3 linked regions of the Kluyveromyces lactis genome follow. The protein of the gene in region 1 interacts with the protein of each later gene in a biochemical or structural test. Links are inferred from orthologs where the notes say so. Each region holds a gene or a part of one and is shown in the gene's direction. Other genes may lie near its edges. The genes, in order: RAD51, RAD54 and RDH54.

Evidence for each region.
Region 2: the proteins of RAD51 (region 1) and RAD54 form a complex in vitro, tested with the Saccharomyces cerevisiae proteins (13 studies listed by BioGRID, with this or other methods). The link is inferred for Kluyveromyces lactis from reciprocal best matches to the Saccharomyces cerevisiae genes RAD51 and RAD54.
Region 3: the proteins of RAD51 (region 1) and RDH54 form a complex in vitro, tested with the Saccharomyces cerevisiae proteins (2 studies listed by BioGRID). The link is inferred for Kluyveromyces lactis from reciprocal best matches to the Saccharomyces cerevisiae genes RAD51 and RDH54.

The regions. Positions count from the first base shown.
Region 1 is NC_006041.1:1,798,056-1,801,091, forward strand, and holds RAD51 (recombinase RAD51), read left to right. Parts: upstream 1-1,275; coding exon 1,276-2,385; downstream 2,386-3,036. Other genes in the region: Arf family guanine nucleotide exchange factor YEL1, read right to left, coding at 1-368. UniProt on the Saccharomyces cerevisiae protein: Required both for recombination and for the repair of DNA damage caused by X-rays. Its function may be modulated by interaction with other repair proteins. RAD52 interacts directly with RAD51, via its C-terminus.
Region 2 is NC_006037.1:271,324-275,521, reverse strand, and holds RAD54 (DNA-dependent ATPase RAD54), read left to right. Parts: upstream 1-1,318; coding exon 1,319-4,006; downstream 4,007-4,198. UniProt on the Saccharomyces cerevisiae protein: Plays an essential role in homologous recombination (HR) which is a major pathway for repairing DNA double-strand breaks (DSBs), single-stranded DNA (ssDNA) gaps, and stalled or collapsed replication forks.
Region 3 is NC_006042.1:1,089,562-1,093,789, reverse strand, and holds RDH54 (DNA-dependent ATPase RDH54), read left to right. Parts: upstream 1-1,295; coding exon 1,296-4,091; downstream 4,092-4,228. Other genes in the region: ISC10 (Isc10p), read right to left, coding at 1-110; VMS1 (Vms1p), read right to left, coding at 4,123-4,228. UniProt on the Saccharomyces cerevisiae protein: Involved in the recombinational repair of double-strand breaks (DSB) in DNA during mitosis and meiosis. Has DNA dependent ATPase activity. Promotes D-loop (displacement loop) formation with RAD51 recombinase.

The DNA.
Region 1 (3,036 bases):
GTCCATTGAGCAGCAAGTTCTTCTAAAATATTGTCTAGCGGAGTAGCTTCTGCGATCAAATAAAGACCATGGGATAGCTTTGATAGAGTAAGATACAACGAAGTCGGCCAAGGTCTCAAAAGGTTCAAAAATTCCGTTAGTACGCGCTTATTCTCCTTTGCACCTAACCAATTCGCATACTGTGTATATTCCAAGGGCCGGTAAGTCTGTTTCAGCATCTGGTCAGCCGTTTGTAGATCTGCATCGTTAATAAACGCATGGATATTCGTCATCTTCGGAGATTCCACTATTGGTGGATCGGACTGTTCATTGCCTACCATCAATCTGTTATGATTCTGGTTCTTATTAGGAGTTATAAACGCACCCATCGATGGCAATTATGGCAATTTTCTGTATGTGATTCTATCCCTACACTATGTATAATCCTCTGCTTAAAGCCCTTTGACATACGCAAAACACCTTTCAATTCTTCTCTATCCAAGGTAGAAGCCAAGGTTCAAGCGGTCAGCGAAGAATTCAAGGATTCCCCCACAAAAAAATATCCGAGACAGAAAGGCTGAACTTATTAATAAGACGTTCTTGAGAACTTGGCGATCAAATCTATCGCTGTTTAATAGTGCCTGATGTAACGGTTGGCCATTTTAAAATTCCTTTTAAGATTTCATTTTGGCAACAATTTCGATATTTCTTTTCATATTATTGCCTAATTCTGATATAAAAGTAAAGCCGCTAAGAAAAGCCGCTAAGGAAAGACGCAGTGAGACAAAGATCAACATCTATTGTACATGATAACACTGCAAGTAATATGGCTTTCTACAAACATATATGGCTCACTACTTTATATTTATCAGTACTATGTAGAAAAGATGGAAGACAGAACAAGCAATGCACTGCATGTGTTACACTTAAACCTTTCGAACTCAGTTCCGGTGATGGTCATGATGGGGAGGACCATGATGAGATAATCTTTCTTGATCCACCACCCACCGCAATATGACATGTGACTGAAGAGTCACGTGCCATGTAAATAAACACTCTTCAGGGACTGTTTACCATTTTAATTTGTTTTGGTTTGAAATTTGAATAAAAAAAACAAAACACCAAAACACGAAAAAGGCTATATAATTTAATTATTAATTACATTACATGAGACATCATTAATCAATTACGTTCACTTTTCTTGGGAGAAGCAGTTTTCTATCCTAGTTGTGAAAGGGTATTGTAGTGGTTATAAGGTCGCTTGAACCAGGCTAAATTGACTCCACAGAATTAGAAATGTCACAGGTGGAAGAAGTTCAGACTACTCAGGGCCATTCTCAGTTGATGGTCTCACGAACCGAAGAACAGATGGAAGATGTTCAGCAAAGAATTCAGGAAACGGATTTTATGGCTGAAGAAGACGATGTGGCTCTAGCCGCCTTTGTCCCAATAGAGAAATTGCAGGTGAACGGTATCACTTCTGGTGATATCAAGAAACTAAGAGAAAGTGGGTTACACACAGCGGAGGCGGTGGCATATGCCCCCAGAAAAGATTTAATGGAGATTAAAGGTATATCAGAGGCTAAAGCTGATAAGTTACTCGCTGAAGCGTCGAGACTAGTGCCTATGGGTTTTGTCACTGCGGCTGATTTTCATTTGCGTAGAAACGAAATGATCTGTTTAACTACTGGATCGAAAAATCTTGATACTCTACTTGGCGGAGGGATAGAAACCGGATCTATCACTGAACTGTTTGGTGAGTTTAGAACTGGTAAATCGCAACTTTGCCATACATTGGCTGTCACATGCCAGATACCTTTGGATATGGGAGGCGGTGAAGGCAAGTGTTTGTACATTGATACGGAGGGTACATTCAGACCGATTAGGTTGGTTTCGATTGCGCAGAGGTTCGGTTTGGACCCTGACGATGCTTTAAATAACGTTGCATATGCAAGAGCTTATAACGCAGACCATCAATTGAAATTGTTGGACGCAGCTGCACAGATGATGAGTGAGTCAAGATTTTCGCTGATTATTGTCGATTCTATTATGGCATTGTACAGAACCGACTTCTCGGGACGTGGTGAGTTAAGTGCAAGACAGATGCACCTTGCCAAGTTCATGAGATCATTACAAAGACTAGCTGATCAGTTTGGTGTCGCAGCGGTAGTGACAAATCAGGTTGTGGCCCAAGTTGACGGAGGAATGATGTTTAACCCTGATCCAAAAAAACCGATTGGTGGTAATATCATGGCTCATTCCTCCACTACTCGTCTTGGATTCAAGAAGGGGAAAGGTCCACAGAGATACTGTAAAGTGGTAGACTCACCATGTTTGCCTGAAGCAGAATGTGTGTTTGCGATCTACGAGGATGGTATCGGAGATCCAAGGGAAGACGATGATTGATCTGATTCTCTTTACCTGGTTATTCATAACACCAAAAAAAAAAGAATAAAAAGAAAAATCCACATTTTTAATATAGCATTCAATTTCCTACGTTGCTAGTAAAACCCCACTGCGTATCTATCTTCTCATTTATTTGTTCATATCATTCGTGTTATAAATAGTCCATAGGGCACGTTATTCTATATGTATATTCATGCAAACCCTCTCTAGTTGTTAAATGCTCGCATAAAACGCATATAATTCCCTCAGCGAAAAGGGACGACTATCCTTTCATTTAAGGGACTTGCATATCATAGCTACAAACACTTCTCCATGTCAGTGTGCTATTAATAGGCTTGACTTCTTTTAATATTCTTTACCTCATCACACCGGAATTCCGAACGTCAACAATCTGAAGCGAAATTTTTGGAAATTTCACCATTTCCACATATAGACAAGAAAGAGTAATTTTGCATTTCTATATAAAACACGTTAACTTTGTAAAACAAAGGTTTGCGAGAGAACATATTCTGGCAAGAAACAGGAGGGACAGAGCGGAGAAGCGTGCTACCGATATATTAGACTTGTCACTAGGCACTCTGTTATTTGGGGTTTTAAGTACGACTCTTTTTTGATAATTTTTTTGACCGATTCTCGTGATATAATTGATAA
Region 2 (4,198 bases), on another chromosome or scaffold:
CGAACCCAAAAAATTGCACCACACAGAAACCAAGTACCGGATTACTACGTAGTTGATTGTAGCTAACAAAAACTCCAACGGTGGGGCAAGATAAAGCTCTGTTCCATCTGGCCAAAAATTCGTAACCACAGTCGTCACTCTAACTAGAAACAAATCGGTTGGCACCAAAAACTGGTTCCCCGTTAGATTAGAATGGAAAAACTTTTTGAGAATCTTGCCTCCACTACAACGCTTTCTAGCTCTAAATCGGAGAAACTGTCTTTTTTTTTTTTTTCAAAAAGAACGAAAAATGAACATAATAGAGAAGTCCTTCCAGTTTTCTACGCCTGGCAATGTAAATACGAAGCTAAGGAGTTTGCTTGGAGTACCGAAATGGTACTCCCATCTGTTTTAACTCCCCCTTATGAGGAGAGAAACTTTAATGGAGATTCGATTAGCAGAAACATAAGAAGCTCCGACAATTTCCAGTTTTGAGACCCTAAGTAGTTAGAATATTATGTGAGCGTGTTTTTCTTTGATATCTATCAAGATTTCTTTTTTACTCCTCACCACCTCTCTATTTACATTGAAAGTTTTGCCGAAGGAATCCGAATCTGTCTCCAATAAAGGAACAAACCCCCTTTCCCCTCCTCTTTAAAAAAAAAAGTTTGTAAGTGATTTAACAACCGAGCACTATTATCAAAGATGTAATTGAGAGAATCGGAGGTACATGTCCGTTGGCTCCTAATAGTTGTCAAGAGTTGGCGTGTTGGGAAATTATCGCTACCCACATGGGGTTGTTGGAGACGTATGCGAGATTATACTAAGAACGCTGGAGGTTACCCTTTTCGGAGTTTTTGGGAGTTTAATGTGATTTTGTATCAGGTGACTGACTTCTTTTTCTTTTTTTTCGGAGTGGTCTGAATACAATGTCTTGCCTAGCAACAAAATGATATCGAAGGAAAACTGGGTGAGGGGCTCCGAAATTTGTGGAAGTGCGCTCGTTCCTTGAGGCTTGTCCATCATTAATGTGGTAGGGTAACTTCAATGGAATTTACGATTTCGGAGGTAATCTTTTGTTTTGGTTAACGTTCACGTGAATGTCAGGGTAATGCTTTCTTGTATTTTTCCTTTTCAGCAATGTTTACGTTTTTGATTTTTTGCCACCACGCGTTTTCGTGTTTGCCTCAACTGAAATCTCATCATCATCTTTATTTACAAAACATAAAATACATTACTAAAATGATTAACATGGTGAATGATTATAATGCCCTAGTCTTACTTTAATGTACACACTTAACACCAGGGGATATACCATCGTTTCATTTACCGAAAGACTATGGCACGCCGGAGGTTACCAGACAGACCGCCAAACGGGATCGGTGCTGGAGCTCGTCCAAATTTGAGACCAAGAAGGTTGGACACTAACCAAGCACTGGAAACGTTAACGAAACCTTTCAAAGTTCCGTTTAAAGTTAATAAAACCGACCATGCCAAACGATATGGAGTGAGATCTTCAAGAAGATCTCAAACGACTTATGCAAATATGGATTCTTCCTTAGATTCTGATTTGCACGTTAAAAGGAAAGATGCACTATCTTTATCCAGATTGAATGCAGAGCCATCAAGACTGGATACAATATATTCAACATTAAGACGGTCATTTACCGTACCGATCAAGGGGTACGTTCCAAGGCACAATATTCCGATGGCTTTGGGAACCAAGGCAAAAGTTGTTATACCACCAAGACCGTTGCATGATCCGACAGACGAGCTTGCCATCGTTCTTTATGATCCTACAGTGGACGGTGATATCCCTGAGCAGCATGAAGATTTGGAATCGTTTAGACAAAATGCAGTAGACACTAAGAAGTCTCAAAAGGGGAAGGATTCAGAGTCGCAAGACCAGAAAGCAAAGGAATCTTCGCCCAATTCTGCTCCATCAATTCATCACCCTAAAATGCTATCCAACGGTGTGAAGAATAAAACCCTAAAAGAGCTATTAGGATCTTCTGAAGATAATACATCAAAAAAGTTCCCCAACGTACCAGTTGTGATTGATCCCAAATTGGCTAAGATTTTAAGACCGCATCAAGTTGAGGGTGTTAGATTTTTGTATAGATGTGTTACTGGTTTAGTCATGAAAGACTTTTTGGATGCCAAAACAGTGTTGGACTCAAGCTCTCAATCAATGGAAAAAGCTGATACACAAGCTGATTCTAACATAACAGGTTCGAAATCACCGGTTGAAACTGATGTCTCGTCCCTTAAAGACGTTATTAAAATCAATGAAAATTCTAGAAACAGGGGAGCCTATGGGTGTATTATGGCAGATGAAATGGGATTGGGTAAGACATTACAATGCTTAGCGTTAATGTGGACCATGTTGAAACAAGGTCCGCAAGGTAGGAGATCAATTGATAAATGTATTATTGTGTGTCCATCATCTTTAGTCAACAATTGGGCAAATGAAATTGACAAATGGTTGGGACCAGGTTCTCTTTCTTCATTGGCTATTGACGGTAAAAAGTCCAGTCTAAATAATGGAAATGTGGCGGATTCAGTGAGTCATTGGGCTTCAGCTCAAGGTAGAAATATCGTCAAACCTGTCCTCATCATTTCTTATGACACTTTAAGGCGTAATGTCGAACAGTTAAAGAACTGTGAGGTTGGACTAATGTTAGCAGATGAGGGGCATCGTTTGAAGAATGCAGATTCCTTAACATTCACGGCATTGGATTCCATTAGGTGTCCGAGAAGAGTTATTCTATCGGGAACTCCGATTCAAAATGATTTATCGGAGTATTTTGCATTATTAAATTTCTCAAATCCCGGATTGTTGGGTTCCAGAAATGACTTTAGGAAAAACTTCGAATTACCGATTTTACAGAGTAGAGATTCATTGGCTACAGATGAAGAGGTCACTTTGGGTAAGGATAGGTTGAGACAACTTTCAAACATTGTCTCGAAGTTCATTATCAGGCGTACCAACAATATTTTGGCAAAATATCTACCTTGCAAATACGAGCATGTTATATTCATAAATTTAACACCATTTCAGCAATCTCTATATCAGCATTTCATTGAATCAAGAGCTGTTAAGAAGATCGTTAAAGGGGATAGTAACCAACCGTTGAAGGCAATCGGTTTGTTAAAAAAATTATGTAACCATCCAGACTTATTAGAGCTATCTGAAGACATTCCGGGTTCAGAAGAGTTAATACCCGACGATTATCAATCTTCTGTTGACTCCCGCACTTCAAGAAATAGAAGCGTTATTCAGACAGCTTTTTCCAGTAAGTTTTCGGTCTTGGCAAGATTTTTGTACAAAATTAAAACGGAGTCTAACGACAAGATTGTGTTGATTTCAAACTATACCCAGACGCTAGACTTGATTGAAAAAATGTGTTTTAGTAACCACTATGGCGTATTGAGATTGGATGGTACCATGAACATCAATAAAAGACAAAAGTTAGTGGACCGGTTCAATGATCCGGAGGGACAAGAGTTTATATTTTTGTTAAGTTCCAAGGCCGGTGGTTGCGGTATAAACTTGATTGGTGCCAACAGATTGATTTTATTAGATCCAGATTGGAACCCGGCTGCAGATCAACAAGCTTTGGCTAGAGTTTGGAGAGATGGGCAAAAGAAAGATTGTTTTATCTACAGATTCATTAGTACTGGTACCATTGAAGAGAAGATTTTCCAAAGACAATCGATGAAGATGAGTTTGAGTTCATGTGTTGTGGATGAAAAGGAGGATGTTGAACGATTGTTCAGTTCGGATAATTTGAAGCAATTGTTCAAACTTGATACAAAAACCATATGTGATACCCATGAGACATATAATTGTAAACGCTGTAAGAATGGAAAGCAAATTTTGAAAGCTCCGGTAATGCTATACGGTGACGCGACTTCGTGGAATCATTTGAATCACGATGCATTAGCAAAAACAAACGACCATCTCTTGAAAAATGAATTCAATCACAAAGACATCAGTTTTGCATTTCAATATATATCGCATTGATCTTTCATTTTTTTAAAGTACATTTTAATTTCACTACTATATAGACGCATTAATAAATTCGGTTTCTGGGCGGTTCGGAACAGATAACTCGGTTAATATGAAGAGGCAACTCAAGTTTTCGAGATCTTTGAGCCGATCCTAATTTATATAAATACAGTTTGAATATGGATTTCCATATTAAAGCTAATTTTA
Region 3 (4,228 bases), on another chromosome or scaffold:
TTCACCGCTTGCTCTTTCAATGATGGAGGTTTTAAAACTTTAATGACTTTCTCGAATTGCGTTGCCGCAGCCGAGTATGGTCCTGCATTTTCATTTAAAGCAACACTCATGATCGATATAATAGGCACTTAGATCTATTGTTTGGGGTCCTGAATGAACGCTATCCATATAGACTTTAAGAAAGCATCATGGAAGTTGCACACAAAAATTACCATACATGATGATTAGCTTTTATCTTCTGTGGTGTCGACGGATGACAGCAGCTTTGAAAATTGAAGAAGAGATTAATGCCAAGGGAAAGATTCGAAAAGCAGCAATCATTTATTCAACACATCACCCATTTCCATCATATTGTCAATATAGTCCTGTAAATATTTATTCTCCTGTTTTAATTCTTCACAAATCCTTCGTTGTTCTATCGATTTGTTCAACAATAGATCCAATGTATCACGCAAGATTTTGGTTTCTTCGGCCAATTGAAAGCCACTTTCTTCAACATTATCAACGGCTTCAGAAATGTGGTACTCCTCACTTTCAGACATTATAAGTAGTTAGCTATTGTTGAATTGTTTGTCTTCAATCTCCATGTATCAATGTTTTAGTGAACTGGGTTACATATTGCAATATTACGCATTTTTCAAATTTGAAATGTTGGCTTCCAGGGTATGGGGTTCACATATAGAACAGATACAGGAAAAGATACGTAAGAGTAACATAATGTCTCCGGTCAATTGGCAGTACAACCAGGTTATTTGGACAGAGATATTAATGATTGAACTTTGAACTAAAGCATTGTCAACTAACGGGAAATACCGTAGAACAAGAAGGAGTAAAAAAAACCAAAAAAGAATGGTTCCTAGCGGGATCGAACCGCTGATCCCCGCGTTATTAGCACGGTGCCTTAACCAACTGGGCCAAGGAACCAATTTCTTATTGTTTTGAGATTCAGAATCGTATTGGTCCTTTGATTGGTGATATGTTGGGGATGAGTTTGTAGAAAGAGAAGTAATGCATGTTAACGGGTAGAGAAGCTTACCCACCATTGAGGCCTTTTGTATCAACTCCTGTCATTGCTATTACAAAGATCTTTAACCAAGGGAGCAGACGCAAATATGAGTTGTTACTGTTACCCTCATAGCGCTCACGTCAAGATTCGCGTTTTAATATGCATAATGTCAATATAGATCTTAAACGTAAACAACATACATCACATCGCATAACACAGGCAATAGTACGCTCCCCATCTGGTATCAAAGCATTTACTTCAGTGGAAAAGAGCGACAAAGTACAAATAAATGAATCATTATGTCAATAAACCTTTCAAACGTCCACGCATGGTAGGTAGACCTGGAAGAGATACCCTTTCTGAGCAGATACACACCGGCCTTCGGCCAAAGTCTCATCATTCACATACTAAAATTACCAATACCAGCTCTGAAACTGTGAAACTAACGTATGCCGGCCCAAAAAGTTTGAAAACCAGCGTAAATGCACCAGTTGGTGTGTCTAAGTCATCACAGGAGGTTTCTTTATTTACAGCAAATTACAGAAGGGTTACAAATAAGAAGAACAAGACGTGGGATGGTGATGGATACGCCAATATGACAAGCGACGATAAATTGAAGTTTTACAACGAAGCTGGTGTCTCTTTAGGATCAGTTCCAATCAAGGATAGGGATTTATATGAGACCATATGGAGAATCGGATCTACCGAGTTTCAAATCGATTATAGAATAAGCGATCAAGAAGAATTAAGCTCTGTGCAAGACATATGTAAAATCAAAGTCAGTCATACACTTGGAATAACGGATATTCCAGTCGCCAAGAAGCATAAAGCAACCATAGAAAGTAAGCCACCAATACAGACATTCATACCGAAAATAACGACCAAATTCAAACCCCTGAGAAAACACCTAAACGGAGAGCCTAAAGTGCCTCCAGCACAGAAACAACTAGTAGATCAACCAACTGTCAAATCTGCTCTACCACCGCTGAGTCAAGAACTAATTGGGCAGATAACTTATTCGCCGTTGTTTGATCCAGTTTCCATTAAAGATCCATTGATCATGAACAAAACGGAGAATCATAAAGTGAGTGTTATTGTTGACCCGCTATTGTCGAAGACACTAAGACCACACCAGCGCGAAGGTGTCAAATTTCTCTATGACTGCGTAATGAACATGGTACATACAAAAGGTGACGAAAGCATGATTCTCGAGAGAGATGATGACATAAAAGGATGTTTACTAGCAGATGAGATGGGGCTCGGAAAGACGTTGATGACAATTACGCTAATTTGGACACTCTTGAAACAAACACCTTATCCGACTATAATAAACCAGAGAGGAGTAACTCTCGCTGGAGAGATATCGAAGGTCCTCATTGTATGTCCTGTCACTTTAATCGGTAATTGGAAGAAGGAGTTCAAAAAATGGTTGCCTATGAATAGAATTGGAGTGTTGACCTTACACAGTAGGAACTCTCCAACAGAGGATAAGGCTCAAGTGAGAAGCTTCCTAAAAGTTCCCCGAACTTATCAGGTTTTGATTGTTGGTTATGAAAAACTCCTCAGTATCAAGGATGAACTACAGAATGAGAAGAGAAACCTTGATCTTGTTATCTGTGATGAAGGACATAGATTGAAGAATAAAGATTCTAAGATCTTGAAGGTTTTGCAATCATTAGATATTGAGAAGAAAATTGTATTGAGTGGGACACCTATTCAAAATGATCTTGAAGAGTTCTATACAATAATTGATTTTATCAATCCTGGGATTTTAGGATCTTTCGGAAGGTTTAAAAGGGAATATATTTTACCTATCGCCAGATCCAGGGATGTCAATGCTAAACAAAATCAAACTCTGGTAGAACAAGGACTTCTGAGATCCGATCAATTAATTGAGATAACGAAACGGTTTATCTTAAGAAGAACCAATGAAATTTTACAACAATATTTACCACCGAGAACTGATCTCATTATATTTTGCAAACCTACCGCTGAACAAGTAGAGGCTTTTCACAAGATTTTAACCGAAGGGCAGCTAAATTTCAGCAACATGACATTCAACTCTTCATTGGGGTTGATTACTCTATTCAAAAAAATCTGCAATTCCACCCGCTTGATCAAAACAGATCCATACTATGAAGAAAGGCTTAGTCAAGTTCAGACTTCTAGTACCTCTGGAAAATTCACCTCGGGGAAACTTAGAATACTTCTTTCATTATTACATGAGTTGAAAACCAAGACTGACGAGAAAGTAGTAGTGATTTCAAATTACACGCAAACCCTAGACATCATTGAGGGACATTGTAGTTCAGAAGGGTACACTTCTGCACGATTAGATGGAAGTACAGCAACCAAAACCCGTGATCAGATTGTGACATCCTTCAATAATGATCCATCTATTTTTGTTTTCCTTTTAAGTGCGAAGTCAGGCGGTGTGGGACTAAACTTAATCGGTGCATCAAGACTTGTATTATTCGATAATGATTGGAACCCATCCATTGATTTACAGGCCATGTCAAGAATTCATCGCGATGGTCAGAGAAGGCCATGTTTCATTTATAGACTTGTGACAACCGGATGTATTGATGAGAAGATACTTCAAAGACAGTTAATGAAAATAGCGCTTTCTAAAAAGTTCTTGGACAGTGCCACAGATCAATCAAAAAATGATGATGATCTTTTTCAGCAGGAAGAGTTGAAGGACTTGTTTACCATTAATTTGTCCACTTTATCCAATACCCACGACTTAATTTGTAATTGTTCTGGTGAAGTAGAAGTGCTTGAAGAAGAAGAGATAACGGGTACTGATGAAGCCAACGCCCAGCCAGAATACCAGGCTGCTGCGACTCCATCAAACAATCCTCCTGCTTCAATTTGGATCAATGCTCTAGAAGCCCAAAAAATTATAGAGAAGGAGGAGATACTTCGAAATGGAACAAAGTCAGAAATCATGAGAAAATGCCTATTGGGATACAAACATATTGATCCACAAAAGACTAATGACTTAATTGACGAAGCTATGAATAACGTCTTTGATGATGCACGACAGTACATCACTTATGCTTTGGTAAAAGACTCCGTGTAAAAGTTATATATGTTACTATTTATACTTGCATCTAGTTACCAGAAAATCTTTTCATTCTCGCTTCAGCTGCACGAGCTCGCTGCTCTCTCATCAATCTCATCCGTTGATCATCAGTTAAAGAGTTCAAATTTATTTGA